4 linked regions of the Diceros bicornis minor genome follow. The protein of the gene in region 1 interacts with the protein of each later gene in a biochemical or structural test. Links are inferred from orthologs where the notes say so. Each region holds a gene or a part of one and is shown on either strand. Other genes may lie near its edges. The genes, in order: HSP90AA1, HIF1A, AHR and PTGES3.

Region 1 (8,091 bases):
CATCACCAGAAGCAGATGTGTAATACCTCAACAGCTCTGAAAGCTTTTTCCGGTTTTGAGAGTCTTCATGAATTCCAAGCTGAAAAATAAATTTTAGGAAGACATTTTCTGCGTTAAAAATCATTTGAAATTTGAGAAGCCTATCTGACTACAGCTACTAATGATCGAATGTGTTTATACCAACCTTAATATTTTTAGAGAACTGCTCGTAAAACTTTTTGTAGTTCTCTTTATCTTCTGCCAGTTCAGTGAAGAGTTCTAAGCATTTTTTGACCAAATTCTTTCTGATAACTTTCAAAATCTTGCTTTGTTGCAACATCTCACGGGAAATATTTAGAGGAAGATCCTCCGAGTCCACCACACCTCTAATGAAATCTGAAAAAATAAGGACCAAATGCACTCAATCATTCTAAGGACAAAAATTCACAAAGAAATACACCCCCAAAACCAAAGATAAGCCACTTTTCGTCCCACATGCTTATTATACTGAAGATCTGGAGTTGACAGAATAAAATTCTTTAACCAGTGACAGTGATCATTCCTTATACCCAACCATACTCACTCAGATATTCAGGGATTAGCTCCTCACAGTTGTCCATGATGAAGACTCTGCGAACATACAACTTAATGTTGTTCTTTTTCTTTCTGTTTTCAAACAGGTCAAAAGGAGCACGTCTTGGGACAAAAAGAAGGGCTCTGAATTCCAATTGTCCTTCAACTGAAAAATGCTGTAATAAAATACACACTAAATCAGCACACAGTGCAAGCAACTTTCACTCAAAGCTGCTTAACCTGACACACACACACCTTAATTACACAACATAAAGCACTTTCGGGGAGGGAATAGGGGCTGGGATGGAAAAGCTGCCAGCAACAGCCCTTAACGATTTCAGAGAAACAACTTGCAGAGGTAGACTAGCTTTGAAGCACTCAGCAGTGACTCACCTTCACTGCCAAGTGATCTTCCCAGTCATTGGTCAGGCTCTTATAGAATTCTCCATACTCTTCGTTAGTAATATCATCAGGATTTCTGGTCCAAATAGGTTTTGTTTTGTTCAGCTCTTCCTGATCAATGTACTTCTCCTTGATCTTCTTCTTCTTCTTCTTGTCACCATCTTTCTTTTCTTCTTCTTCTTCATCAGAGCCAACATCTTCTATTTCAGGCTTGTCTTCTGATTCCTTTTCTTCTTTTTCTTTTTCCTCCTCTTTGTCTTCCTTTTCTTCAGCCTCATCATCACTGACTTCTTTGTCTCGTTCCTTCTCCACCTTCAAAAAACACAAAATCACATCACCTCTGCATTCCAGAACTAAAAAAAGCGAAATGGAGTGGGCACGCTTATACCAAAGCCTAAATTAGTGAGCCAAGCTAGGAAACATTAAGAAGCCAAGAAACTCCTCATTAGTATCTGATGGATCTAACTTAACACCTCTGGGTACCTGGTACCTTGTGAGACTAAAAAGAATTCAGACTAATCCAGTAAACACACGTTTGGGTCTTTTCCTTATCAGCAAATCTAAGGAGTAAGGATTTCAGTTAAATCACTTATAGTTTTCTACATACAGGATACACACAAACTCACAAACAGTGTAATGGGGTAGCCAATAAACTGAGAATGCTTCTTCACAATCTCCTTTATTCTTCTTTCCTCTAAGTACTCTGTTTGGTCTTCTTTCAGATGCAGGATAACCTTTGTGCCACGACCCATTGGTTCGCCTGAAAAGGAGATAGAGAAATTGACTCAATTCCAATCTTAACAGCCAAACCAAGGAAACAAAGAGTACATACAATCAATTCAGCTCTGGACACCATACCTAACAATTTGTGAACAAGTCCAGGAGACGTGGTTTACCGTTACTATAGATAGGAAGAGTCCCAGACTAGTTAACTGCTTTGCCCACCATACAGAACCACAAGCTCACGCTACTACACCACCACATGCTCACCAGCTTGCCTCCTATTATACCAAGCAGATACAAGTTTTCACAAATTTCTCTGCATCCTCAGGGGTCCCACGCCTACAGCACCCCACCCTCCACGTGACTGGCTCACCCAGGAAATGCTTTATCAGGTGCCTACCTGTATCAGTCCTGACTGTGAACGATCCTCCCGCAGAAGACTCCCAGGCATACTGCTCATCATCGTTATGTTTGGTGATCACGGTCACCTTCTCAGCAACCAAATAGGCAGAATAAAACCCAACACCAAACTGGCCAATCATAGAGATGTCTGCACCAGCCTGCAAAGCTTCCATGAACGCTTTGGTCCCAGACTTGGCGATAGTACCAAGGTTATTGATCAAATCGGCCTTGGTCATTCCGATTCCGGTATCCACAATGGTGAGGGTTCGATCTTGCTTGTTCGGAATGAGATTTATGTGCAGCTCTTTCCCCGAGTCTAGTTTACTGGGATCCGTCAAGCTTTCATACCTGATTTTGTCCAAAGCCTATTACAAAACAGATCATTAAACACCGAGCCCCTAAATGGTGAAGTTAATACCGAAACCTCAAAACCCAGTTCTACGGTAATGAGACTTACATCTGATGAATTTGAAATAAGCTCCCTCAAAAATATCTCTTTATTCGAGTAGAAAGTGTTGATGATCAATGACATCAACTGGGCAATTTCCGCCTGAAAGGCGAACGTCTCCACCTCCTCCTCCTCCATCGGCTGGTCTTGGGTCTGGGTTTCCTCGGGCATCTGGAAAGGACACCGTGCCACGTTACACGCCGCAGGACGGCGACAGCGGCGCAAGCCTCACCCGCCTTCAGGTATTTTTAGAGCGCAATTGAGGAAAACTGAAAGCAGGAGGCCGGCCGACAAAGGATGACCTCATTTCGCGCTGCGATCACAGGAGCGTGCGCGCGCCTCGAGGCGGCCCGAGGCCGGGCGACTGGGCCGCAGCCGGGGGTCCCGGCCCCACCGCGAAGCCCCCGGTCCGCGGGCCGGCCGGAGGCGGCCTGGGCGAGCCGCCTTCCCGGGCGGGGAGGACGGCCCTCCGCCGCGGGAGGCGCCGCCCCCGGCAGCCCCTTCGCTCCTGCAGCGCGTCCGGGCGACCCGCGCCCGCTCCCGAGGCGGGAGGGTCGGGGCCGCCGCAGGCCTGAGGCCTCGGAAAGGAAACCACGGCCGCCCCCACGCCCGCGGGCCGGGGGGCTCCCAGGGCTGGAGCGAACCCCGCCACCCGCAGACTGCGCCCGCCTGCCCGTCCCCTGAACCCCATTTCCTCCCCGGAGACCCCCCAACCACCCCCTCACCTCGGCTAAAGGACCGTACGGGTTCCGCGACAACGCAGCACCAGGACGCAAGAGCAACTGGCGCGCCGCCCCCGCGCCTCCCTTATATAGAGGCGGGCCCGCCCAGCGCGCGGCGCCTTTTCCAGAAGCCTCCCGAACCTTCCGGAAGCACCCTCCCCAACCGCCGCCGCGGCCGCGCGCCTGCGCCTGCGCCCTGGCCGCCGCCCGCCCCTCTCCCGGGCGCGCGCGGACCCGCGCAGCAACGGCCTGAGCGCCCCTCCCCCAACGGCCGCCGCGCGCCGCCGCGCCCGCCTCAGTGCGCCTGCGCGGTCCGGAATTCTCGGGAAGGTCTCGCGCTTTCGGGGACCAGCCCTGTCCCCGTGCCGACAGCTCAATCCTGAGCCCGCGCTCCCAGCCCTGCGCGCTCCCGGACGTGCTGAACGGCACCCCTAGCGGTCCCTCGCCGTCGGCGCCGTGCAGGCCCGGGGAGTGTGGTCAGGGGCTGAGTGCCCCTGCTCGTGTTTTTATGAAATCCGCGCAAGTCAACTTTTAATTTTTAAAGAGTGTCCTGGTGCTGTGAAAGCTTCGGGTCCCCCAGCACGAGGGCCCGCCAGCGCAGTGTCAGGGGTCCAGTGCCAGCGACCAGGGCCCCGGGGCCAGGTTTAGGGCTTTGTGGCCCTGTTTAGGGGCTCGAGGCAGAGGTGAGGGGTCAGGTGCCGCATTAATACGTCTAGGGCAGTGATTAGAGAGGCTCAGGGCTACGTTTAGGAGTTGAGGGCCCGGGGTAGCGATTGGGGGGTCCAGAGCCGGGTTTAGGGGTACGGGTCCGCATCTGTTCGCCCTAGGCAGCGATTATGGGTTCCGAGGCCTGGAATTCGGGCAACAGGCCCCTGCGAGAGCCTCGATGTGCGGAGGCCCGGGACGCTTGGCCTGGTTAGCGGGTGCAGCGGTGCCCGTCCATGATGGGCTGTGAGAGGTGACCAGGGCATGCGCTTGGGGAGGCAAGGCCGATCCTTGGTTTCTGCCTTTATGAGATGGGAGCCCCCCCCCCCCCAACGGAAGTGGAAGTCACGTTTGGACAAGGGGAGCCGCCGGGACCTCGTGGGGCTCCAGGCAGCTGGTTCTGAGGCCGAGTGGGACAGGGAGCGAGGAGCGCCAGCTGGTACTTCTGAGGGTCCGCCCCCCGCCCCAAACACTGGCCACTGCCCAAATTGCGGGGCTGGTGCCGTCCTTACGCCTACACAGGAGGAAATGCTGAAATGGACACTTACACAATCGCAAATTCTCCAAACCCGTGCGCAGTCTGTTCAGTCTCTTGGGGATTTCTATCTACCTTCGGTTTGCCATAAAACTACATCCTTCACGTTTTGAGGGTCCCTTAGTCTGGAGTTCGGAGATTTGGTGAACAAATGCGTGTTCACCTAGCTACACCCGTCATGATTTTGTAAAGCCCATCTTTTTTACTTATTTTACGTAATATGAGATCTGTATATGAAGTATCTAATTCATGGGTTGGGTGATTAACTTGCCCCCAAAGCCACCTTCTAAATGGGAATTCTAAGTGTTTTGAACAATGCCAGACCAAGCTGTAAAAGTCTCAGAGGGACAGGGGTCCTTAGTCATCGCCCAGCTCAAGATCCAGGGTGTTTCCCGTTTGGAGAAACTAAGGCCCAGCGCGCAGAGCACCCCTGCCCCGCCCACGGCCTTTCCCTCGGAAACCCTCCGCCCTCCTCTGGCTCCTTTGTCTCTAGCTCCTCCCACCATTGGTCCTCCTCCTCCTCCTCCTCCTCCCCCTCCCCCCCGCTACACACCGAGCCTTCGGGAACAATCTGGAAGCTCCTTACGATGTAAACAGACTTGACTGAACGCTGCCTCCACTTCCTTGTCCCTGGGGAAACCCAGCTTTTCCAGGAACGGGGTTTTCAAACTGGGGCCTGAGACCCACTGGGAGTGTGTGAAATAACGTAGGGCGTCCTGACTACCGTTAAAATGGGAAAAATTGAATGGGAACTAGAAGCCACATGGTAAGGGTAGGTGAGGGTTGTTATGCATTTGTTGGGGCACGTAAAATGTGTTTCTGACTCCAGCTGTGTCCGGACGCCTCGGCGCGGGGGTTGGGAGGGGTTGGGGGGGTTGGGGGGCGGGCGGAGGAGGGGGAGGGGCAGTAGTGCTGTGGGTTCCTTGTGGCCACCATCAGCTGTTTAAGGTCTCCACCGCTGCGGGCGCCTCCACCCGTAGCCCACCAGCCACCCTCCTCTTTTCTAGACTTGGAGGCCTGACCCACTTTTTCCTTTCTATCCCACTTACGCCATTGCCCAGGAGGTTTAAGATTTCTTGTAGATGAGCCATTCAAAGCCCCAGCTGTGAAATTCTCGGTTTCTAAGGCCTTCACCTCCCCCCTCCTCCAGAGAACTTGCCCCAAGGCTACTCCTGGAACCTTTGTTTTCCAGGAAGCTCCGCCTACAATATCCCTCCCTTATTCCAAATCTTGTCCTCCCGCTCTCCCCTGCCCTGCCCGCCTCAGTTACTAAGTACAAGGACGTTTTTGGTCCCCCGTGACCTCTGGGTAACATTCCACACTAACCACCACTGCCCTCCTTGAGACCTCTGCCTTGGTTCCACCTCTGCCTTGGTTCCACCATCAGCATGCTGTGGTTTCCCTCCGGGCGCTGGCTGCTCCTCTCTCTCCTCCAGACTCGCCCCCTCTCCCTGGCCTGTTGCTGGAGCTCCTGGGAGAGTACCTATGTGCGGATGATGCACAGAAAAGCCCCAGCCAGGACTCTTCTAGCTCCAGACCTGGTTGCTGAGCTCACTTCCCCCACCTCTCTGGCCTTCTAGGGCTCACTAGCCAGGTGACTATCCCACGACCTTCTAGAACCCCAAACACCCCGTAGGGAATCTGACGTGAGCCCTGCCACTTCTGCTTCCTAAATACTTTATGAATCCATCCACTTCTCTCCATCCTCATATCCCCCCCCCCCCCCCCCGGGCCTTCACCCCTGCCCACACAACCATCAGCTCACCTGGAAGACCTCCATAGCCAGCTGACTGCTTCCTGAGTCTGCTCTGGTCTGCCTCCCGCCTGTTGCCAAGGGGCGCTGTGAGAACACAGATCTGACCCTGTCAGTCCCCTCCTCCACACACTCCTCAAACACTTGCTAACACCCCATCACTCCTAGGAGAAAAAGAGCTTCTTAACCAGGCCTGCCAGGCCCTGCAGGGTGCCCCTACCTACCCGTTCATCCTCGGGTCCCACCGTGCTCCCTGTCACTCTTCTTTGTACACCTCACACCGTGATCTACCGCCACAGGGCTGTGCAAATGCTGTTCCTTCGGCCTGGAACAGCATTCTCTCTCTTTTTCTCCTATTTAATGTCCTAGTGGACCCTCAGCTCACACATTTCCTCAGGGACCTCTTCCCACCTCCATTTCCCTTCCCACTTGGCCCGAGTGGATCCCTTGATATGAACAGGCTCTCAGGATGTGGGCATCTCTTCCTCTTGGCATGAACCACACCTGCTCATCCACATCATCGAGCCTTCCAAACCCTGCTCTCCTACCCCCAACTCTCTTCCTTTTCTACCCTGCCTCCTCAACTCTGTATTTCTAATATATCTCTAAGTCCTACAGATTTAGCTCCTAAATATTTGTTGAACTTGTCCCAAAGTGATCTTGCTGTCAGGGGAATCTGACAGTTTTCCTCCTGCATTTGAAATCTTTCAGTGTCCTCCCAGTAAGCTAGGATACAAGGCCCAGACTCTGGATCCAGGGCCTGGATTCAAATCCCAGCTCTGCCACTGCCTACCTGTGTGACCAGGCAAGTCACTTCTTCTCTCTGTGCCTCTGCTTCAGCATCTGTAAAATGGGTATGAAAATGTCTTCCTCATATGGTTATGAGGCTTAACTGAGCTCATTCTGTGTTTGGAACTGTCCCAGGTAACTGCTATATACATGTTTATTAAAGTAAACAGAAAACTTCCTCATTTGCCTTTTGATTTCTTCTTTGACCCATGGGTAATTTATAAGTGTGTTAGTTTCTAAATATTTGGAGGCCCTCCAGATATCTTTTTGTTATTGATTTCTAATATTTAATTGCATTGTGGTTAGAAAACATACTTTGCATGATTTTAGTCTTTTCATTTTTATTTTGTTTTATGGTTCAGAATATGGTCTATCTTGGTACATGTTCTGTATGCAAAATAATTATGCTGAGGGAAAGATGCCAGTAATTTATATAAAATTTTACAAAATGCAAACTAATTAATAGTGACAGAAGGCGATCAGGGGTTGCCTGTGGGAGGCAGGGCTGACAGGAGCGGGAGGAAGGGATTTCGAGGGGCACGAGGACACTGGGTGATGAGTGTGTTCGCTATCTCGAGTGCAGTGATGGTCTCACAGGTGTAAGTGTATGTTGAAACATAGCAAGTTGTACTTTAAACGTGTGCAGTTTATTGCATGTCAATTATACCTCGTAAAGCTGTTTTTAAAACAATTGATGTTTAGCAAAGACCTTGGAGAAATATTCAGAATCCAGTTATAACTATATAGGAAAATTAAGTGGTACATACTTTGGAAAGAGGCACAGTTGACTCGGAGGAGGATGGTGTGGGTTAAAGTAGAGATCTTCAGCTGGATTGTGAGTGTCAACCCTGCCACTCACTGGCTGTGTGACTTTGAGCAAGCTACTCAACCTCTCTGTGCTTCAGTCTTCTCATCTTCACAGTAGGGATGATCATAGTAAGGATGTGGGAGGATGCCGTGAACTAATCCCAGGGAAGCCTGTTGTGCCTGGCACACAGTGAGCTCTCAGTGGATGGACTCGCTGTTGTTCTCTTGATGGAGGATGGGAGATAGGGTGACC
Region 2 (8,154 bases), about 36 Mb from region 1:
CTTTTTCTCTTCCCCTTCTGGTATTCTCATTACAGTTAAGTTATACCTTTTGCAATTGTCCCACAGTTCTTGGATATCTTGTTCTATCTTTTTCATTAATTTTTTTCTTTGCATTTCAGTTTTGGAAGTTTGTATTGATATATCTTCAAACTTAGACATTCTTTCCTCAGCTGTGTCCAGTCTACTGATGAGCCCATCAAAAGCATTCTTCATGTCTGTTACATTGTTTTTTATTTCTAGCATTTTCTTTGGATTCTTCCTTAGAGTTTCCATATCTCTACTTACATTACCCATCTATTCTTCCACATTGTTCATTTTTTCCATTAGAGCCCTTAGCATATTAATCATAGTTATTTTAAATTCCTGGTCTGATAATTCTAAAATCTCTGCCATATCTGAGTCTGGTTCTGATGTTTGGTTTATTTCTTCAGATTGTGTTTTTGCCTTTTATTTTTTCAGAGGGGAAGAAAAGATCTTAGGAAACACTTCTCCACAGGTGAGCAGTATCTCAGCCAGGGATGGCAAATAGGTCTCAACACTTATACCGGCTGCTGGGGGAATCTTGAGAAATGAGGATATACCGGGGAGTAGTGGGAAACACTCTGAAGCAGGTTAACGTACCTACCATGGGGGCAGAAGGGTGATGGTGTGCCATTCACTTGCCATCTCTGTTCTAAGTCATAACGTGATTCAGAAGTACTTAACACTCTTCATGAACCTATTTAGCTGAGTGATTAGGTTAATGGCTGAAAGAGCGGACTGGTGTGGAAGATGAAGGGACTGCAGGATAATGAATTAGCTTCAAGGAAATACAGCAAGAAGCAAAAGCTCAACCATCCATCATCTTAGTCCGCTGCCCCCTCAGCTGGCTGGAGATGGGGCACAGTACCCCAAGCCCATGCTTTTTGCCTTTTAGCATGTCTTGTAATTTTTTTTGTTGAAAGCCAGACATGCTGTATCAGGTAAAAGGAACTTAGGAAGATAGGCCTTTACTATGAAGTTTTGTTTATCTGGCTAGGTGTTAGGCTGTGTTATTGTTTGCTGTAGCTGTGGTATCTAAGCTAAACTTTCCTCTAGGGTCCTTGTTTTTGTTTCTTTTGTTGTCTTTGGATGTCCCTAGTGACTCTTTAAATAGGGTCTGAGGCTTGCAGTTCCTTTAGCTGTAATCCCCCGTTATTATGTAGGAGCCCTACTGATGTGGTGTTCTGGTGAGGTGCGGGAGGAGGGGAAGCATTCTATAGTCTTATAATTATGTCTCAGTCTTCTAGCGAGCCTGAGTTGAGCATTTCCCTTCTCCCATGTTGAAGGCTATAGGGGGCTGGAATTGAGTGTTTTCCTTCCCCAAGGTGGGTTAGGCTCCGGTAAAATAGTTTCCCTTGAGGGCAGACCTGGTTCAGAAAAAGAGAGAGCTCTGGGAGTATTTCAAAAGGGTTAATTTTCCTTTCCCCCTGCAAAAAGCAAGAGGAGACGCTTCTCACATCTTCACAGTAAGACTCTGTTAGGGCTCCTAGAAGTAAAACTCAGGAAAGTTCTAGGGCCCCTCTACGGCTGAGCCCCCTTGGAGTTTTTAACTCTCAAGCTGGTCCAAACAGAGCCTCCAGCAATTCCTCAATTATAGTTGAATGCGTTCCTATTGATATTGGCTCCAACTGTGCTGTTGGCTTCAGCTGCTGGCTTTGGCTCCTGGTCAACTGTGATCCTTTGGTAAGCTGTGCTTCTTTATATCTGTCTGTCTCTCTAGTTTTCAGGTAGGAGTTTGTCCTGTGACCTCAGTTCTCTGATAGATTTAAGAAGAGTTGTTGGTTTTCAGTTTGTTCAGCTTTTTTCCTTATTGTAAGGATGGGAGCTCCCAAGCTCTTTGCATGTTGGACTAGAGACTGAAAATCTTTTGGCATTCCTTTGTAAATTTACTCTTAAAATGTCTATTATAATGGAAAAATGCTAGTGTCAAATTTTCAGTCTATTCTTATTCTCCAGAAACTCAGACAAATATACATATTTTGTTTTGATTTTTGAAAAAAGATTTTTAATGTCTATTCTAAGAACTTTCCAGACGATTGCTTTTTGTTGTTGTTGTTGTACAACAACAATAGGTTGTTGACAATAGGTCAAGGTGGTGGTGGAGGGACTAAGGGTACTAAAAGATCAAGAATCACTTATTGACCACCAGGTGTTCTTATATAGTTTGATACATTCTAAATTATCTGTTTCTGATGTGTTTCACTCTTTAAAAGGCTCAATGTTCTATACTATTTAGTAGTAATCCAAATTTCAAGTTTTATCTTGCTTCCTCCTGACTCACTGCCCAACTTCCTACTAAATATGGGTTAAGGGTCAATTGAGTCATTTGCAATAATCTTTCAGTCTACTTGCAAAGTTCTGCAAAGTGAGTTGGAATGAAATTTGAACACTTACAAAGATTAGAAGGCGATTGAATGAGACTCTTCATTAAGATTTATGTTCATTGTAATAACCTAAATGCATTTATTAATAGGTGGTTGTAAAGAGGATGATTTACAATTTTATCCCATAGAAAATTTTGTTTTTCAGAATTCTGTTATTTAACAGGATTGATTGAATTAAGGAATACTATTTGGCTCCTTCGTAATTATATGAAAACAAGCTGGTTGAATATTACCACTTTCCGTGTTCATATATGTATGTGTGTGTATACACATTTATACATACATATGTATACATATACACATAAAATACCATATTTTATACATTTCTGGAAAGGAAAATTGAACTTTGGGGTAAATTTAATGAACGTTCAAAAATATATTTTGCTGTTTGAATTATCCTTCTACTTTAAACTTTTGAAATGCTCAAAATTTTTTAAAAAATGACTTAGATTTGCTATTACAAAATGCTCATTTTTTAAATGTAACAAACACTAAAACAGAGAGAATTTCTTACAAGTAAATGACAAAGGAAATGATTGAAGATTTCTGCAACTGTGCTTGTGTAGGAGGGTGGGAACACCGTGGGCAGTTCCAAAGTTTAAAATAGGGAATATATGTGGATGTATATGAACATAATTGACATTTTTGGATAGCTAAAACTAGCTAACCTGTGGCAGAAGCCCAAGTAATTACTGCTAGCAGAGGCACAAATTTGGGGGTAATAATGATAAGAATAATGAAAACAAGACCACCAACAATACTAATGGCTAACAATTATTGATTGCTTACTATGTGTCAGGTATTGTTCTAAGTGCTTTACATGTACTATCTCATTTAATCATCCCATAATTCTGTGGCATAGACACAAGTGAGTAAACTGAAGCACAGAGAGGTTAAATGAATTAGTAAGTGTCAGAGCCTGTATTGCAAGCTCACTTTTGACTCTGGCACCAGTGTTCTTAACACTGAGTTTTCAGAATGTTAAACTAAAAGGTTTGTAATTTACGTTTATTCTTTCCACAATTAAAAAAGAAAACATGAGTAATTATTTTCGGTCCTTTCCTCTTTTCAGGCATTTTCTCCAGTACTTTTCAAGAATACATATCATTCAGCATTGTAGATCTGAAGAAAAAGTAGCATTAAGATCACTCTTTAACCATATCTTTATGGGTCTACAGACCAGTTACAGAGAGGTGCTATGTGAATCCGTTGTTGTCTTCTCAGAGTTTAATGCTATGTTATACAGACCATTGTGTTCACACACCAATATAATTGAAACCTACTACAGATATCCACATTAATTAATACACAACCCAAAGCCACATTGTAACAATATAACTAATAATGCAAAGGTGAGAAGCAAAATACTGTAATCTAGTGTCAAGTGGAGATATATGTGCAATGCTTCTTTGTTGAGCTCAAAACACATTCTTTATTCATTTAAAAGACTGACAGTCTTGAAATGTATGCTTCCAAAGCCAAAAAGTGATTGTCTTATCCAGCAGCTTGCAAAGTCATGTTAGCAAACAAGCAATACTGGCCGCCACCATAAAGTGTTAACTCGGGTTCAGCGTTCCCCTGCCCAGGTCTCAGCGAGGGGTTTGAAGAATCCTTCCTCTTTCCAGTCTACACAGTGAACTCAATTCAAGGTGGTAAGTCTCAATCAAGGGTCATCTTCCCCTTTTTTCCCATCCTTCTAAGATTATTTTCGGCTCTTTTAGAAGCAACAGGAAAGTAAAATAAAAGCCTATCTAAAGCTGTTTTTCCTACTCTTCCTCTGAAATTCAGGTTTATGCTCTTTTATTAAAGCCACTTATACCTATTTGTAAATGCTTAAAATAATTTCATATTTTAAGATTTCCTGCTACCTGCTTCCCTTGAGAGGTTTACAGCAAGAGGAGTTTGTTTATCTTTTTATTTGCATTTGTTCAGTAATCAAACTTCACAGAACAACTTAGTGGACAAGGAGGGTACTCTTGTGTTCTATGGCAGAATGTGGTCGGTGACATGGCCCGTGGCTGGGCGACCTGGCAAGAAAGACCCCATTGTAACACATCTGGGCAAAGGAACCAGAGTTCGCTGCCACGACGCGAAAAGTCTGTTTTTTTGAACTAGGACTCAGCAGAGCTGGCGGCAACCCTGTACAGCATAGCCGCCGAGGAAAAAGAGAGCAGGAGACTTGCCGCACCGAGCAGGAAACGTGATGCAGGCTTGGGACCCAGAAACCGAAATCTCTTCTCAGCAGCGCCTCCCAAAGCCAGCCACTGCCTTCCCAGGGAGAAGGCGCAGAGTCCCCAGACCCACGCTGGCCGCGCCCCCAGCTCTTCTCTTCCCTCCGCCGCTGCACACAGACGAGCACGTGAGCGCCGCGGCGCTTCCCAGCTGTGTCTCAGCTGACCGCCTCCTGATTGGCTGAGAGAGACGTGGGCTGGGGTGGGGACTGGCCGCCTGCGTCGTTCGCCATTGGCTCTCAAGGAACCCGCCTCCCCCTCAGGTGAGGCGGGCTTGCGTGAGCGCGCGCCGGGCTCCGCGGTCGGGCGCGCCCCCGACACACTACCCCCCCCCCCCGCGCGTGCGCCCCCGAGCGCGCCCCCGCCTTAGCCCGCCCCCTGCCGCTGCCTCAGCTCGTCAGAGCACAGAGCCGCTTCGTCCGAGGGGACGCGAGGATCGTCCTCGCCGCCGCTTCGGCCAACGCGTCGGGGTGGGCCCTGACGAGCAGCCCGAGGAAAGGCTCTTCTGAGCCGGACCGGGACCCTTGCGACTGCAGCCCGCTCCTCCTGCCTCTCGTCTCACGGAGGGTTTCCCGCCTCGCATCCCCCACCTCCGGCCGTGCCTCGCCATCTCTCCCGCGTGTGGAGGGAGCCAGCGCTTAGGCCGGAGCGAGCCTGGGGGCCGCCGGCCGGGAGGCATCGCGGGGCCCGAGTCGCCATGGAGGGCGCCGGCGGCGCGAACGACAAGAAAAAGTAAGCCCACTCCCTCCGCCCGCCGCGCTCCCCGCCGCCGCCCCCGCCCGCCCTCCGCCGCCGTCTCGGGCTGGCGGGCGGGCCTTGCGTTCCGGGGGGGGCCGCCTTTTTGTTTCTGCCTGCTCTCGCCTCTCCTCCCTCTCCCCCGGCCCCGCCGGCCCGGCTCCCCTGGCCGCGTCGCCATCTTGTCGTGGGGGGTGGGAGACGCGTCGAAAGTGCTTTCGGGGGCCGGGGGCTGAGCCCGCCCGGCCGCCCCGCCCGGCCGCGGGGCCTCGCGCCGCCCGCCCCCCCCCCCCCCCCCCCGCCTCAGACCCCGGCTCGCCGGCGCCCGATCCGGGTGGACTTCCCCGGCCTGGAAACCCCGGGCAGAGGAGCGAGCCCGGTGGCCGCGCTGCACCCGAGCTTCCGCTCTTCCCGCCCCCATCCTCTCCGGTTCCATTGAAAACTCGGCCCCGGGGCGGACCCTGCGCGCGGGTCCGGGCTTCCCGGAGGCGCCAGGCGCTGGGCTCCTGGCCCGGGGGCTCGTGCTGCGGCCCTGCGCTGGTCCAGCGCGGCCGGGGCTTGCCTTTGTGCGTTCGGGATTTGCCGCGGTGGCCTGAAGATGCTAACTTTTGAGTTTGCACGTGCAGGTTTGGTTTTGTTTTAATGGCCTTGAAAAACTTGCCTTGACTTAGAGGGGGAGTAACGGGAATTGAGAGAAACAGCAACATTTTAAAGAGAACATCAGAATTGGATACTTGTGTTTCTATCACCTGTCAAGAAAGCCCAGACGTTATAAATGAATAGATGCCTCATTCATTCTTGAAAATATTACGGTGAAAATGTAGCGGCTGGCTAAATTTGGGCAATCGTTGTTAATGACATTGGAAAAAAGGTATGTGATCAGAGCGTATGAAATGCAGCACTAAAATGTTGCAACATTTTTAGAACTGTCTCATTTTCCTGAAGTTGAAGTATATTAAAGGGAAACCTTCAAAATATATCCGCAGTAAATAATCATCGAGTTAGAACTTAATGCAAGTTTTTAAAACACTTTTAAGTTTGCGTCTGAGTGATACATTATAGGATTAAGAATTGTGAGTCGAACCGGTGGGGTTAAGAGTGATCCCCCTCCATCCCCCCACGTACAGTTGGGTCCACTTTGGTATTTTAACCTTTGAGGAAATCATTTTAAGTAATTGAAGATTTATAGTAAGAGTTGTGGTTAGTAGACTGGCTTTACTGTTAAGTCCTTCCACTCTTCTGGGAGAGATTAACTTCCCTAATCAGTATCAGCAGAAGATAAACTTGTTTATGTTCTTGCTATTTTGTAGATCCTTTTTTGGTTCTTATTCAATAGAATGATAAGTTCTCAGTTTATGTACACCAGAGAAAGCACTTATAAAATTCAAAAAGTGAGTAAACAGGTCTAGACTTAATTCCAAGAGTTGCCAGGAATTAATTTCAATTAATTTTGCAGAACTGATTACAGTACTTTTGATGAAATGATGAGGCTGCTGTATTGTAAACCTAAGACAGATTACCTCTTTGTAGTGCCAATTTTTTGTCCTTATATGCAGAATTATACTTAATACTATGCATCAAGTTACGCACCCGTCACTTCCTTTTTATATGCAATATTGTACTTATTTCTCCTTTGCAGTTCATCAGTTGAGACTATCAAAGGCAGCTTTAATAAAAATGAATTAATTAGCTGTTGTGCATCACTCTCAATTCTAAACTAGTTCTTAGATTTTTCCAGACTCATCTGTTATTTAAGGAATTTTCTCGTTTGGAAATTTAGCAAATTTGGATCAGATTGAATCATATTTCTTGATATAGATGTTCTTATAACTGAAAAATTAAGTTAATCACTTAATAAATGGTGGCTACTCAACTTTTAGACGCTATTTGTTAGAGATGTCTGGTTTTTATCCTTTTCTAACTAATAATTTTAAAACTTTTTGAAAAGATAACTGAGAGATTGAGGGGCAGGGATTTTTTCCTTACAATTTTTCCGTTTAAATGAGCCTTCCAGAGTCCAGATTATGTAGACAAATTTGTCTTTTTTGAAGGTCTAGAAACTCAAAAGCTGAAGGATTGGAAGAAATCAGAACAGAGGATAGGTATGGTTATAAGAGATAACATAGGGCCATTCATGTTGATTCCTTAGTAGTAGGGGCTGGACTTGTTTAACAGTACACTGATACAGATTTTTAGGTTTCAAAGAAATGTCATTGGTCTGTTTCAGGTTTCAGGCCAGACTCCTTCAAAGTTTTCCAAAACAAATAATTATTGGATCATTCAAGTAAAATGTCTGAGAATGAACATTCCTTAACTTCCTTCTTTAACTTTGGTCATTAAAAGTCAAGAAGCTCTCTCATTTTCTTAGTTGGAAGAGGAGCATGCCTGGTGGTTAAGAGCATAGGATCTGGAACCAGACACTTCTGAGTTAAGAGTCCATCATTTTCACTCTGTCAGCTTTGTGAGCTTGAGTAAGTTACTGAATGCTTTCTGAGCCTATTTCATCCTTTTGAAATGAGAATCATAGCCCCCATCGTAGCAGTCGTTGTGAAGATTAAATGAGATAATGCCCAGGACCTGGTTTAGGAGTCTTGGTAACACTGTGCACTTGAAAATAGGCATCACCTGTTAAAGTTCTAGTTTAAACTTCCACAACGCTTAAAAACTTTTTTGTAAATTCTTCCAAATATTTCTTTGTTTTAGATCCTCTTCTCCCACTTTCGTGCATTTTTTCTATACCTCCTAAAAATGAAAAGACTAACATTGGATCCAGAGCTTTAAAA
Region 3 (7,485 bases), on another chromosome or scaffold:
ACTTTAGTAGGATTAAATTTAACACATTTAAGATGTATTTCCTACTAATAAGATAATTTTCAATGTTAGATTTGCCACTAGGGGGAGTTTATCTTGTGTAATATAATTCAACAGAAGACTGGAAGAACTTCAGGGTAAAATTATGTCACCTACTTGATTCCAAAATTTTATGGAATTATATATTTAAATGGCCATTTTATTAACAGTTCTATAATTATACTACAATATATCTTCTCTTTAAGTAAAATAAAATGGCTATCACTTAAGAGGTCAAAGTTAACCACATCTGAATAGCATTTTCAGCTCAAACAAGATGTATTTTTCTGACAACGTTGGCATATTTTAGACCCCATTAGCTCCAAGGTAGTAATTTAAAAAATTCATATTAAACTTAATATTGAGTTTAATGGTCACATTCCTAAAATAAACTTTGATTAACTGCATTATAAAGTTAACCATTTTTCATCCAGGTAAAAACAACTGATAAACAATTTCAAGTGATTCTGCAAATAGCAGCAATAGGCGTTCCTTATGGAGCAGGGCAGTGATATTTTAAGGCATTTACATGATTAGAAGCAATGCATGGCGCTCAGTAAAGATCTGATAAACATCTATACTAACTGAATAAAATAAAATGAGAGTAAACATGGAAAATGCTTTAGTTGTAGTACAAGAGATTATTAAATACAAACTATTAAAGTCTTAGAAAGTATATTAAAATGTTAAGATAAAATAATAAAAGGTACATCTTATATAAATAAAAGAAAATGTAATATGTTTAAAGGGAAGATCTTTAATGAAATGTTAACTAGGAGCCAAAAATGTTAAACTTTATAATGAATACAAAATTAAAGTATTTGATTTTTCTTAAAAAAGTCATCTAGGTCCTTTTGTAACACACTGACTAAAACTCAGTAACTTAAAAATCCATCAAAGAGATATTCAAGTTTTATGACCATACACATAAAAACCCATGATACCTCTTTATATTTATGCTACTGTATTAGTAATTACACAGGACATGCATTTGGAACGCCTCTCAATTTTAATAACCATCAAGGTTAAAGTCAGATTAGACAAACACATTTTTATATAAGAAACCACTCTACAAAATGCAAGTATTGTAAACCAGTGTCACAGAATTAGACAAATACATTTTTATGTAAGAAACCACTCTACGAAATACAAGTATGGTAAACCAATGTCACAGAACAGGCAAGACAGAAAATTGCTGACTCGGCAGTATTCCTAATGTTAGCCACACTGCAGGATAAGACTTCCAAATTTTAATCAGTCTATTTATAGACGAATATCCTCTGTTAATGCCAAGTCTAGATCTGAAGAACTATGATCATTGAAATTCTAAATGGAAATTAAAACTCCAGAATAATGAAACTTTTAAACCAAGTTACTGGTTTTAAATATAAATCTTAAACTCTTATTTTTCCGGTTTGGATTAGTGACCTAAGTTAAGTTTTAACCAAAATGCACACTTCTGATTTGCTCTGAGTAAAGCTTTAAGGTGTTCTTAAAATTGTTTATGAAAATTTGAAAAATGTGAAATAAAGTGTCTCAGAGATAATTAGGAATAAACACATGAATAAAGCCAATTAAAAGTAAATCTGTCTCAAGCATAGATTTTTTTTTCTGAAAAAAAATTATTTTAAAGTATTTGTCATCTCACATAAATAGCCCACCAAAACAAACAGAAAATCTAAGTTTGTAACCATTCTATTAGAATCGACAAAACTTTGCAGTGGGGGAAAAGGAAATTAGAGAAAGATGTTAAGAATGAAAACGTCTGTTTCAGTAATTCCAGTTCCAAATCTTTTTCTTTACGACCCTAAAACCATCCCCAAAGTGATAAGAAAGCTCCTCCAAAAGGTGGCTGAAAACACAAATCCCTCACTGTATCCTGTCCACTACACTCACTCATACCTGCTACCACCTCTATACATTTTACCGATATGGTCACGTTGAGCGCTACAAAATTACTGTCAAATAAGAGCCCAACAGAAGCCAGGTGCACCGGACCAAAAAATACCCTCAGAGGCACTCAGCCACTTTCTTGCAGACAGCACGTGTTTAGATCTTTAAAACATCTCGCCCTACCAGGAATGAGAATTATGACCGTCCTCTAACCTAACCGATGAGGATATTAAAAGTGGAAAGGGATTTCAAGGCGGATTTAGGTTAACTAATCCACCAGCCCCACACAGCAGACCAGAGCTGTCAACAAATTAGGACCACGGAAGAGAGAACAGAGCTGCAAAGGGGTGGAGGTGCGAGAGGGTGCGCTGGGGACACGGGGCACAATTTTTAAAATGCAATAATTAAAAAAGGAAAATCCAAGGCCTGAGTCTTTCGACCGGCCTCCAAATCTCGATTCCACGGACTGTGTCAGGAATGGACCTAATCCCGGGACCGCGGGGATTTGGGGGCGGGGTGCGGCCACCTCCCGCACCCGCGTGCCACAGCGCACACCCCCGCGCCGAGGACGCGCTCCGGACACTCACGTTTTCTGCACTGGCTTCCGCCGCTTGCGACTGGCGTAGGTGATGTTGGCGCTGCTGCTGTTCATGGTGCCGGCGGCGGCTCCTCCCCGGCTCGGACGGCCCACTCCCCGGGAGCCAGCGGCGACCTGGACGACGGCGGCAGCGGGCGCGGGGTTCCACGAAGCCGCTCCCGCTGCTCCACCTGCGTCCTCCCCGGACGGCAGCGAGGACGCCGCGTCCTCGCTCCTCGGCACCCGCAGCCCCGCGCGTCCAGGTGCGCCGCCCGGGCCTGGCGCCGGGGGGCGGGGGCGGAGACCGGCGCGCGAGGTGGCGCAGGTGTCCTCTACACCGGCGGAGGCGGCGCGGCGCTGGCCGCAGGTGAGGCGGCCCGGGCGGAGGAGGAGGCTGGGCTGCCTGTTTGGAATCCCGGCCTGGGTCGCGCGCGGTGGCGCCGCGCCCCGTGACCGTCGCCGCGGCCCCTCGGGTAAGGGAGGCGCCGCCGCGCTGCTCCTGGGGCTTCCCAGATCCTGGGTGCTTCCCGCCCGCGGAGCTCGGACTCCGACCGCCACTCCGGTGCCACCAGCTTCCGCTCTGCTACGCAGCTGCCCTAGGTCTGAGCCGCTGGTCCTGGGCACGCTCCCGGGACGGAACGTCGAGTGCACCCGCCAGGGGCTGCCTCCCGCCGCCGCGCGCACCGGCTGAATAGCAGAAGCGCCCCCAACCCGTCTCCGGCCCCGCCCAGCCCCTCGTGGCCCCGCCCCGTCCTACTTGGCCCCGCCCTTCCATTCCATCTTCCTTGAGGGCCCCACCTTCCCTGTACGTGATGACGTAAGGCGTAACGACGCCCCCCAGTAGCCATCTTCTTGAGGTCGAGGGGTGGAATTCTGTGGCCAGATTTGCAGCCCAGAAAGAGGTGTGACAACAAATTGCGTATTGTAGCCGAACTCTTTGTAGCTAGACTATCTCAAGGATAGACATGCCAAATAGTGAGCTTAACTTCACCTATATGAGAGACAGTGACTCAGCTAACCTTTGGCGAAGGATTGCAGTGAGCTGGTGGATAACCAGTGGAACTCTAAATTTTCCTAGAGGGAAAGGCTTCAGGAGGCCACATCTGAGTTAAAACATGAAGGCTAGGAGTTTCCTTGGCTTTTTGTGTGTGTGTGTGTGTCTCCATCCTAAACAATATAACATCTTTTCCTTAGCCAGAATAACTTTGTTATTCTGTAGTCAGATTTCAATAAAGTTGAAAGGAAGGAAACGAGGAAGAAGGGAAGCACAAGGCATTTGGGGATAATAAGCAGTCTGCTATGGTTGGACAGAGGAGCTGGAGGCGAAGTTCCGAAATTCTAGGCTCAAACCATAAAGCCTTGATAAAGAGTCTGGATTTTATTCTGTAGGCATTGGAAGCCTTTTAAAGATAGCAGAAAAGTGACATTCTGGTGTCTTGGAAAAGTCCCTCTGGGAGGAAAGTGCAAACTGGAATACGGGAGATGGATGCAGAGACCGTACTTAGGTCGTTGTACTATTTCATTACGGTTGAAATAGTCCGGGTGTAAGTCCGGGGAAGTGGCAGTGGGGATGGAGAGAAGAAAGAAAATTCAGATGATGATAGAAAAGGATAAGAAAATAGGGGAAGAGAAAGAGCAGTCTCAAACGGCTCTAGGATTTCTGACTCTTTCTGTGCTGTTAACCAGGATAGTAAACACAGAGGAGTCTGCTTGTCAGGAGCAGAAGGGCATCCAGATTAAGATACCTAGATGACATCTCACACCATATCCATTCCTACGTTTTAAAATGTCTTCAAGCTGTTTCCACCTGGTAAATTTGTTACCTCAACTTCAGTGCATCAATACATTAAGCTCGTCATATGCTTTAGCTGAAACTTTGTCATTGGCTCCGCCGTTCTCCAGATCAACCTATGAATCATGTTCAACTCGCCTACCACTTATATGTAAATATTCCGGCAAATACTATTAAATTTTGTTCTTTACAATATCCCTAATTCATTTCCCTCAACTTTATTCTTCAATAATAGCAGACAGTGCCTAGCTCAAATGCCATACCATGTAGGATTCCTAAGCTAATATTATCCCCTCCACACATTAATTCAATCAAAAAAGATTTGGGGGTGACTCCTATGTGCCAGGAATTATGCTAGTACTGGGGAGACAATGGTGAACACAAACAGAAATGTCCTATGCTCTCAGGAAATACTGTAATGGAGAAGTACACAACTCAGTATGATCTTCTAGTGGATAAATTGACCTACTCATTGAGGCAAATATGGGCTTTCCCCCCAAAATGTTGATTGAGCTGAGGTCTGAAGGATAAAGTAGGGTTAGCTGGGAGAAAGCAGGGGAAGACCATTCCAACTCAATGAAACAGTACAAGCAACGTCCCTTTAGTGGGAAGGAGCCTGGTAGGTATGAGGGACTAAAACAAGTTCAGTATGAGCAGAGGAGAAGGGCACAAATGATCAAATTTGCGTTTCAAAAATATCACCATATCTGCAGGGTATAGAACAGATCAAAGAGGCAGGAACAGAGCGGAATGGATGGAAGTAATACTCCTCAGGAAACCATCTGCAGTAATCCAGCCAAGAGATGACATTATTGACACTAGGATGGATGTGATGGTGGAGATGGAGAAAATTAATAGATTCCATAGATATTGGGAAAGTCTTGGGAGATAGAGTGGATATATGACAGTGAGGGAAGAGGATGTGTCAAAAACATCATAATAGTGTTCTCAACTATGTATCTGGCTATGTGATAATGGCACGTACTGGTGGGAAATTATTAATTTAGCTTTGGATCTCTTAGGGTTGAAGTACCTTTGAGATAGCTAAGAGAAGATGTCAGGTAGGCCATAGGATATACATGTTTGTAACTCAAAGAAGATGTATGAACTGGAGATATAAATTCAGAAATCATTTGCATTTAGGTGACATGAGAGAGTGGAGGTTGTAGGGTGCAAATATATACCAGAGAAAGACTGGGACCCAGAGAATTTCAATATGTAGTATCCAATAGCTGAATAGAAGATGATGGTCCTGTAAAACTGAATGAAAAAGAGTTGCTCGAATGGTAACAGGAAAGTGAGGGCACTATTGTGTCGTAGAGGACAAAGTGGAAAAATGTTGGGAGTGGTTCACATTATTGAGTGTTGTTGAGAGTTTCAAATATGATGAGAATTGAAAATGTCTTTTGGCTTCTCAACACGAGGTCATTGGTGACTTTAGTGAACACTATATTAGTGGGCTAGTGGATTGCAAGTCAGATTGAAGTGGATGCAGAATTGAATTGGAGATGAAGAAATGACATCAGCAAGCGCAGACAATTCTTTTTTTTTTAAAGTTTGGCTGTGAAAGGGAGAGACCTAGAATGGTAGCTAGGGGGAGTAAAGTGTTAAATTAGGGTTTGTTGTTTTTAATGGATGATACTTAAGCAGTTGAGAAAGAGAGGAGACGGATTGAGATTGGCTGTGTAAGAAAGACAAAGAATAGTAAGGGAACAATAGATATTAAAAATGGTAAAGGCAAGAGAGAACGAGGGCCAAAAAAGAAAAGGGGAATTAGGATTATAGCAGATTAGATAATACCAGACAGAGTTTATGTAGTGCTTTACTGTTCACAGTGTCCTTAGCTTCTCATGAGAGTTATAGGAAATGCAGAACCTCTGGGTGTCCTTACTGAGTCAGAATCTGAATTTAACAAGATCTCCCAGTTGATTCAAATGTACGTGAAGTTTGAGGAGCACTACTCTACAGAAGCTAGAGGAAAAGAGGATGGTGGGTAAGATGTAGTGGGCTGGTAATTTTGAATCAGAAAGATGAAGGAGATGTGATGAAGAGAGTATTCTAGCATGACCTACAAAGGAGCAGGTGTGTTTTGTGGTTGATGGGTTTTGTTTTATTTTAATTTTACAAGACTATAAAGTGAAAGTGATGCAGGAAGTGGCAACAGAGAACTAGGTGATGAGGAAAAATAATTAGGAACCATTTTGGAGATGACACCCTCAGGGAGAGCCAGCTTTCAGTTTAAGGCAAAAGATGGAGCAAAGAAGACAGTGCATACAGGAGAGTTTGCTGTGGATGGATTAGCAGTTCTGGGGGCACAGAGTCAACCAACTCTATCTTATCTTCTCTTTTATTTCCTCATCTCTGTATTATTATTCATAGCTGTTCTATCTAAAATGTATAGTGTAAACAAGTAATTTCCTTCTAGCATAGGAACTTTAAGGGTGAAAAATGCATATCAAAACATAATTTATTGATTCTGTAGTTTAAAGCTCCTTTTCAGAAAAAGGATATACTAAATGTACTAAATCCCAATAATCAATCTTAATTTAGTGTTTTTTAAAAATGTCCACCTTTTTAAGGTTGTTAGTTCTTTGGTACAATCATTCTCTGTCTTATTTTGTCCTACTTCCATACCTTTATTTTCTTTTTGACTTTAGGACCATTTTCATTATCCAGAAATCATATCATGCTATACTGTATTACAATCAGTTTAGTAACTGATCTTTGTATACCAAGATTGAAATAAGAGTATCAACAAGACTTTCAGAATTCATTTCATTTTAATAGTGACACCATCCACTGCCCTTAAAATTTTTGCTTAGTATGTCAATAAAATCAGTCTTTGTAGTATAATGCAATTAAAAAAAAAAAAAGAATGAGTTGCCACTTTTAGAAACTATCACTTCTACTTCTAATATCACCACTGTAGGACATGGTTCTCAAAGTATGTTTTGTTGCCATTGCTAAAATTTTTAAATTTTCCATGAGCCATTTTTATATAATAACGTGATTTTTTCTTATAACAATTGGTTTGCATATAAGAGTTTATTAATATTTGACTGCCTAATCCAAAGCACCATTATCCTTTTATTTAGTTTAGGTGAGATGACTTTCTGAGGTTTCAGATGCAGCTATATTTCTATGGGTTTCTTTTTCCTGCTAAATATTATGAGAAAAAGAAATAAGT
Region 4 (7,597 bases), on another chromosome or scaffold:
CACATACAGCAACTACAAGGATGTGCAGCTATGACATACAACTATCTATAGTTGTATCTATCTATAGGGCTTTGGGGGAAAAATAACTAAATTTTAAAAATTATTAAAAAATTAAAAAAAATAAAGCCTCTTCCTTAACCTAGAGCTGTTCATGCTGTTGTTGGCCCACAGTGAGAGACTGGTAGCAAAACTCAGAATATGAAAAAGGTAAATACAAGGCACAGTTGTTTTTAGCTCTATTACTGCCAAACGAGACTGATAGGGTATGCTTTCAAATTGTGGGACAATAATGGCATCAGATAACATGAAGTAATTTAAGTTGCTATACATGATGTTTACATTTAGCTAGGTCATGATGTTTCCCTTAAACTTTATGACCAATTTCTTATTCCCTACACCTAGAACAGATTACTACTTTACCCCCTTTCCCTTTATTTGCCTTACAAATACAAAATTAACAACCTGTAAGTTCTTTATCTTATTAGAAAATCCTCTCATAAAACCAGTCTGTTCTCATCTGTTATTATTTAAAAAAATATTTTTAATTGCACATGTAAATCTATAAAGTTCTGTTTTGCTGTTAGTGACTATGGACACATATTTAAATTCAGTCCTCAGAAAATATCGGAAGGTTGATGCTACAATTATAACCGACAAATTGTTTCTGCATTCTTTTTACTACTGTTAGTATTAAACTTGTGAAATGGGCATCTACTACTTGCCAGGTATTTTCTAGTTTATGCCAATTTGGGTTGCAGATTTCTCTCCCAAAAGCCCTAACACTGTAACTATACATGTTTGAATCTAGAAAGAGAACTTGTTAGTGAATTCGAAAAAGGAACCTGGTACAACTTGGGTCCCCACCAGCTAATGGTTGAGATAACATGTAAAGGGATGGATAAACCTGATTACAAACTATTTGTGAAACGTCTGAGTGAGAAGCCATTTCCAGAGCTACACTAACATGAAATCCCTTGAAATACGTCTGACGGGGGAAGTAAATAAACTATGAAGTAGGATGCAACGGATTTGAATTTTCAAAAATTTCTTGTGTGGAAGGCAGTTTTTCCCACAGCACTTATTTAGATAAGGGAAACTGCCAGTTATTTGGAGTTGCAGTCTTCTAAACGCTATCTTCAATTCAGTTCCTCCATTTCTAGTTCACCTTATACATTGTTACCAAATTAATCTTTCTAGAACACAAGTGTTACTGCCCTTCAAAAAACTTCAACAGCTTCCCACTGTCAGAGAAATAAGTTGAAAACAATTAGCCTGGTATTCAATGCCACCATTACTTGGTTGTGACCTACCATCTAAACCTTATTTTGAATCATTCCTCTATACTCTGGACTACCTAGGCCAGGGGTTGGCAAACTACAGCCTGCAGACCAAACCCAGCAGGCTGCCAGTTTTTGTATGGCCTTCCAGGTAAAAATGATTTTTACATTTTTAAAGGGTTGGAAAAGAATATCGTGTGACATGTAAACATAAGAAATTCAAGTTTCAGCATTCTTAGTGTTTTTTTTTTTTAACACAGCCACTCTCATTTTTTACATATTTTCTATGGTTGATTTCATGCTGCAACAGCAGAGTTCAGAAGTTGCAATAGAGACCTTATGGCCTTATCTGACCCTGCACAGAAAGTTTGCCAATGCCTGATCTAGATGTACTTCTATTTCTTTCTTTCTTTTTTTTCTGTGTGTGAGGAAGATCAGCCCTGAGCTAACATCCATGCCAATCCTCCTCTTTGTTTGCTGAGGAAGACTGGCCCTGAGCTAACATCCCTGCCGATCTTCCTCCACTTTATGTGGGACGCTGCCACAGCATGGCCTTACAAGCAGTGCGTCAGTGCTCGCCTGGGACCTGAACCCAGGGCGCCAGCGTGTGCACTTAACAGCCACGCCACGGGGCCTGCCCCTATACTTCTATTTCTCTCTCTTCACCTATCTAGAGTCCTGCCTGGAATGTACTATTCCCACTCATTCCTGCTGTCACCTCTATGAGGCTGTCAAAGAATTTTCAAAAAATTTACAAACATGATTCTCCCACAAATATAAAATTAACACGAGCCAAACATTTATTGAACTCACTGACGGAACCAGTAAGACGGTAAAACTGGTTGCAGGCGTATTTAAGGAGCTAAGTATTTAGAGCCACAAAAATAAAAATTACAATAAGGTTGAAGGTTAAACAAAAATACTGTCCTACACAGCAATAAAACTGTAACTTTGGGGTTAGCTTTTCTATCAATCAGAAATCTACAGCGTTACAAGTAACTTACAATGTTTGAGCTCTAATCATTTAATAAATAGCAAAGCCAAACACAGGTACCTTCTCCCAGAGAATAATGCTTAGACAGGCAAGTTAAAACACGTCCCAGTATGAACTGCAAGGCCATCCCTCCAGGCCTTGCCTTATTTCCATGTTTTGGGTAACTTTTAACAAGGCCTATCCTAATCCTTCCAGTCAATGTGGACCTCTCCTCCTTTTATGCTCCCATCACTTTTTGTACTTCCATTATAGCACTCAGTTATCTGCATTTGCGAATTTTATTTTCCCCAACAGGCAGTAGGCTCCTTAGAATCACAGTATTTAAGAGCTGAGATTTAACCTTCCTTTTTCACGGGATTTGAGCATAGGGCCCAGGGTTGCAGTTCTCAATACCTGCCTTGCCCCGCACAGATACTTAAGTCCTTAATGCCGAATATGCAGCCTCCACTCTTTCCAAAATGTCTCAGGGCACTTTCCTTACACCTCCTTTGGGTTCTAACGGGCGGTGCACTGGTGTTTCTCCCTTACTCCACTGTTTAGTGGCCTTCTAGAGTAGGCAGGTACTGTTTGGATTCTCTTGGTTACTATCTCCCATTAGAGCCTAACCCAGTGCCTTGCACAAAGCACCAGTTCAAGAGACAAAGGTTGAAACAGATGGGGGACTCTCTCCCCAACTGATGTAGCTGGAGACACCGAGTGTCCTAGCCTCTCCATTCACATGACCTTCCTGTCTCACCTACAGCACTAATACCTCAAAGCAGGGGGAAATGCCCGCCCCAAATGGCAAACATTCCTCCTCAGCCAAAGACCTCAAATTTCCGCTGCCCCTGGACACGGTCTCCAACCCTCAGAGAAACGGCGAGGTGGACTAGGCCCTGGATTCTGAAGTCAGCCCTTTCCGCAACTATCACCAGCACCGCTTTTCGCATCTTTTGGCGGTGGAATGTTTCCTCGGTGGGCTGGTTTACTTCCTCAAGACTAACCAGTCCTCCCTTTCACTTTTCAAGCCTCCCGACTCTGCGTCTCTCCGCCTCAGCTCGCCTCCCCCGGAGACGGCCCCCGGCGCGTGGCCCCATAGCGGTGCGGCCAACGGTTTTCCGACGCGAGGGGGGAGCGCAGGAGCAGAGGCGGGAACGAGTCGGGCGGGAGAGAGCGGACGTAAGGCGGGGCCAACGCCGGGAAGGATCGCGAAGGAGCTGGGAGGCCCCGCCCTTTCCGTAGATATCTCTAGAAAGCCGCGCAGGAAACCAAAAACAAAGAGTGCGCACGCGCGGCGGTAGGGCCCGGGCATTTTGCTGCGTCACCAGCCGCCGCCCGGCCTCACCACCCCTCGCTCGCACGCACGCACGTTCATTCTCCGTCCTCGCGCCCCTTTTCCTACAGTTTCCTCTTCTCCCCGACCGGAGGAGCCGCTCTCTCCGCGCGGTGCATTCTGGGGACCCGGGTCGAGCCCGCCGCCGCCGTCGCCTGAGGGAAGCGAGAAGAGGCCGCGACGAGGAGAAAACGCCGGAGTCGCCACCGGAGAGGAGCCGACTGCCCACCAGCTGCCGCCGGAGAGGCCCGCCCATCCGTGCGCCCGTCCCCCTGCCCCGTTCGCGATGTGAGTGCGCCACCCCTCCGAGGGAAGGTCGCCCCGGAGGGAGGCCGAGGCCGTGCTGGGGGCTGTCGGGAAGCCGCCTCCCCCTACCCCGCTCTTGGCCCCTTCGGCTCTCTCCCCTCAGTGGTGGCAGTCGTTCCTCCCCGGGGTTGGAGGTCCAGGACCCTGTTCCGGGTATCGTGGCGGGTGGAGGACATTTTCCTCCAGATGTTCGCTTTCCCCTTTGGGCAGTCCGCGTTGTCCGTAACTGTCCCTAACTAGTCTCTGGCCTTCGTCTCCCGCGAGCTTTGGGCCATGTGGGCGCCCTGGAGGTGGGGGCCCTCGTGGATTGCCGCTTGGCATCCTGGGCCGTGCGGTTCGGCCGCGCTGTTGTCTGGGACCAGGCCGTGGGCCAGTGCACCTGTGGTGGGTGCTCCCAGAAGCTGGGGGTGCTCCTCGGAGGGCCCCATGCGGCCTCCGCCGAGAAGCGACAGGCACTGCTAGGCAACTGGAGGAGGCCGCGCCGGCGCCACCACTTACTTCCCTCTCGGGTGTCGGGATTTCTTGAGCGTGGGTCTTTCCAGGCCTCCCCATAACTCTAGTCCCTTTAAGGGGCTGAAGGTTACCAAAACGCAGCTTTGTCCCTGGCAGCCAGGAGCTACCATGAGCAGGTAGTTGTGCACGTGTCGAGTCCAGAGATACTTGTGGACATTTTCTGTGTTCTTTGTTAACAGGCGAGGTTTCATTATCCTATCCTAATTTAAGGTTGAAATAGGTATGTGATTGCCTCCTTGTTGTCTTGAAGAGCTTAAATTTGTTTTTGTGGAGGTGACCACACATTTTTTAGCGATCTTTAGTTTTTATTATGGTAAAGGAAAACCTCGGTGATTTTAACCGACTAAGAATTCTTGGCACTGCCACTTCCAGGTCTTACATTCTTCTCAGGAAAAGCTTTTACGTTTTCAGGTGTGTGAACTGCCGGTTTTATAGTTTTTGGGACTAACTGCTCTCTAAAGGTTACGTATGGAGAGCAATTGAAGGGGAGCAGTTTTTATTCCTATAAAAAGTAATGCACTTTCAAGGGTTTATGTAATTAATGACATTAACGGTGAGTATGTTGGATTAGACATTTAAATGGTAAAGGATACACTATAGCCAGTTGACGACGGGGAACAAGCCTCGGGAGGAAAGCATGTGTTACTGTAAAGGGAATTTATTAGAATTTTGGAAGGATTTTTTTCCCCCATAGGTGATATCTAATAGAAGATTTTAATTTATGTAAAATAGCTTTTGCTTTTCCCTTTGAAATCTCTATTCCAAATAATGTAGCAGGATTGTCGGTCTTAAAGTATCTATGAGAAGAAGATGAATTCTCAGATAAAGCGTTACCAACTTTTAATAGACTAATGTAGCCAAACAAAATATCTTTTCGTTAAGAAATACCATGTTTAATACGGTTTGAAATAGAAAAACTCTAGGGAGGTCACATAAAATAGTTAGATAGGAAACCTTAACTAAATAGATTAAAAGATGAAAAGTGTAACAATATTCCAAAAAGCACTGTCTCTACGTAAAGAATGCTACTTTCAAAATGAGTGTTTTGAAGAGATCAGATAAATCTCATCCTCTTTAAAATAGTCAATATATGCAATTTTGCAAATTGTTTAGGATATCTTATTGAACTAATAAAATGAATGAATTTACAAGATGAATATTATGAGTTATTTGAATTGGGAAAAACTTTTAATGGGTCATCCAGTCCCAGGAAGAATCCACTGATAAGGGTTCATTTTGTTGATGTCTGCTATAAACATTTTTCTAGTTGTGGAAATAGACATTTATGCTGGAAATCTTAAGGGTTTTAGGGTCTGGTTTTTTTTTTGTTTTTTTTTTTTTGAATGCTCTGTAGTAGTGATTTCCTGGGTAAATTTCTTTTAATCACGTTTTTAAAGTTTTGTATAGTAGCATACATGAAAGCTCTCAATCTCTCACCTACCTTGGAGAAGGCTGGAATTTTAGGACCTCCCTCCCCCATTTAAGACCTGCGCAAACCCCCTGCAGGGGGTGCTCATTTGCTTTTTTTTAAATTAGCGATTGTAGTTGGTTTTAAGTTGGACCCATTGACAGTGGGTATAAAGTAAAATGTTTTATTTAGTTTTGAGCTATTTGAAGTCATTCTTTTTGGTGTCCTGTACTTAAACTAATAAATTGTCCAGAACTATACCATGACTATTTCTAACGTTGATTAAAATCTTATTTACTTTGCCATCACTCAGCTTTGTAGGATTGGGACCCGAAAGTAAAATCATCAATGTTTTGTTTCCAGAACAAATTGTAATAGTGAGCATGGGGTATATGGTTAATTTCTAAAAGCTAAGGAAAAGTAACTGATCATGGTCTTTGTTCAGTGTTGACTTCCTAACGACTGTAATCTGGCAACTGGATTTTCTTTTTTTCTATGTTTAGTTAGACTTTAACTAGAAGGCAGTAGAAACTGGAAGTGACAAATCACCTGAGTGCAGACCAGTATGTATTGTTAATTAAGATTCTTCTGTTTAATTGTATTTTCTCAGTTTTGAAATCTAGAAGCTATATCATTTTGGGGTCTTAAGTGGCTTGTGATTGTAGCTTTTCAGAAAAAAATACCTTTGTAATATCAACTGTTTTAGAATCAATCTAGCTCTTAAACGCTTAAGATCCTATTTTATCTGAGTTCTTAAATTGAGAATTGTTGCATCTAGTGTAGTTTGCTACAAAAATACAAAGTGTGTTGTAGTAAACTTTTTGTAATTTACTGTATAGATTGGCAGTGATAGATTTTAAATTGAGGCTGACTTCCCCAGGACACCTTTGAACTTTTGATTTTTCCAGGAAGATGCCAATTACTTGAAACCCTACCTTGAGCAGTATACTCAATTTCATGTTGTATCCCACAGCCAAATAAAATGTGCTGTTGTGGATTTTCTGTGCAATAGTTGATCTTCACATGTAGCTATACTTTATTGCCGGAAAGTTTATGTCGGGGCCCTTTCCACCTTAGCATGTTTAATTATCGTTGTGTACTGAAAGGATCTAAGTTACAGACAGGTGTTTAAAATTTTTAATTTTATTAGATTCTAGGATCTAGTTATTCAAATATCAATTCACATAGCACCAATTAGTATAAAGGGCTGTCTCAAATAGAATTGGAACCCAGGATTTCTGACAGAAGGCTTATTTTTTTCTACTTAACAAAAAGGGAGAATAATTTTCAGGTGGTCCTTTTGTGTGTGTGTGTGTGTGTGTGTGTGTGTGTGTGAGGAAGATCAGCCCTGAGCTAACATCCGATGCCAATCCTCCTCTTTTTGCTGAGGAAGACTGGTCCTGGACTAACATCCGTGCCCATCTTCCTCCACTTTATATGGGACGCTGCCACAGCATGGTTTAACAAGCTGTGTGTAGGTGCGCGCCAGGGATCCGAACCGGCGAACCCCGGGCCGCCACAGCGGAGCGTGCACTTAACCGCTGCGCCACAGGGCCGGCCCCTCAGGTGGTCCTTTAATTTCCAAATAAAGAATCATGTCTCTGTAGTTCATTTTTATTTATTATCTAAACTACTGTTTCTGTTAAAACCTGTGCCACTTCTTGACATATGGTAACGGAGCCCTGAGGCTATGAAATTTGTCTGTAATGGAGGCAGTGAGAGATTGACCTCGTTTGAGTTTTATACGTATGAAGAAAAAAATTTTTTTGTGTGAGGAAGGATAGTCC

Evidence for each region.
Region 2: the proteins of HSP90AA1 (region 1) and HIF1A form a complex in vitro, tested with the Homo sapiens proteins (4 studies listed by BioGRID and IntAct, with this or other methods). The link is inferred for Diceros bicornis minor from reciprocal best matches to the Homo sapiens genes HSP90AA1 and HIF1A.
Region 3: the proteins of HSP90AA1 (region 1) and AHR form a complex in vitro, tested with the Homo sapiens proteins (2 studies listed by BioGRID). The link is inferred for Diceros bicornis minor from reciprocal best matches to the Homo sapiens genes HSP90AA1 and AHR.
Region 4: the proteins of HSP90AA1 (region 1) and PTGES3 form a complex in vitro, tested with the Homo sapiens proteins (10 studies listed by BioGRID). The link is inferred for Diceros bicornis minor from reciprocal best matches to the Homo sapiens genes HSP90AA1 and PTGES3.

What each region holds. Positions count from the first base shown.
Region 1 is NC_080763.1:46,925,913-46,934,003, forward strand, and holds the start of HSP90AA1 (heat shock protein HSP 90-alpha), read right to left. Parts: upstream 3,347-8,091; 5' UTR 3,253-3,346; intron 2,699-3,252; coding exon 2,537-2,698; intron 2,445-2,536; coding exon 2,078-2,444; intron 1,715-2,077; coding exon 1,581-1,714; intron 1,267-1,580; coding exon 946-1,266; intron 729-945; coding exon 563-728; intron 376-562; coding exon 185-375; intron 80-184; coding exon 1-79. UniProt on the Homo sapiens protein: Molecular chaperone that promotes the maturation, structural maintenance and proper regulation of specific target proteins involved for instance in cell cycle control and signal transduction.
Region 2 is NC_080763.1:11,158,287-11,166,440, forward strand, and holds the start of HIF1A (hypoxia-inducible factor 1-alpha), read left to right. Parts: upstream 1-5,064; 5' UTR 5,065-5,333; coding exon 5,334-5,368; intron 5,369-8,154.
Region 3 is NC_080742.1:43,515,027-43,522,511, reverse strand, and holds the start of AHR (aryl hydrocarbon receptor), read right to left. Parts: upstream 3,175-7,485; 5' UTR 2,582-3,174; coding exon 2,517-2,581; intron 1-2,516. UniProt on the Homo sapiens protein: Ligand-activated transcription factor that enables cells to adapt to changing conditions by sensing compounds from the environment, diet, microbiome and cellular metabolism, and which plays important roles in development, immunity and cancer.
Region 4 is NC_080756.1:12,196,868-12,204,464, forward strand, and holds the start of PTGES3 (prostaglandin E synthase 3), read left to right. Parts: upstream 1-4,495; 5' UTR 4,496-4,510; coding exon 4,511-4,518; intron 4,519-7,597. UniProt on the Homo sapiens protein: Cytosolic prostaglandin synthase that catalyzes the oxidoreduction of prostaglandin endoperoxide H2 (PGH2) to prostaglandin E2 (PGE2).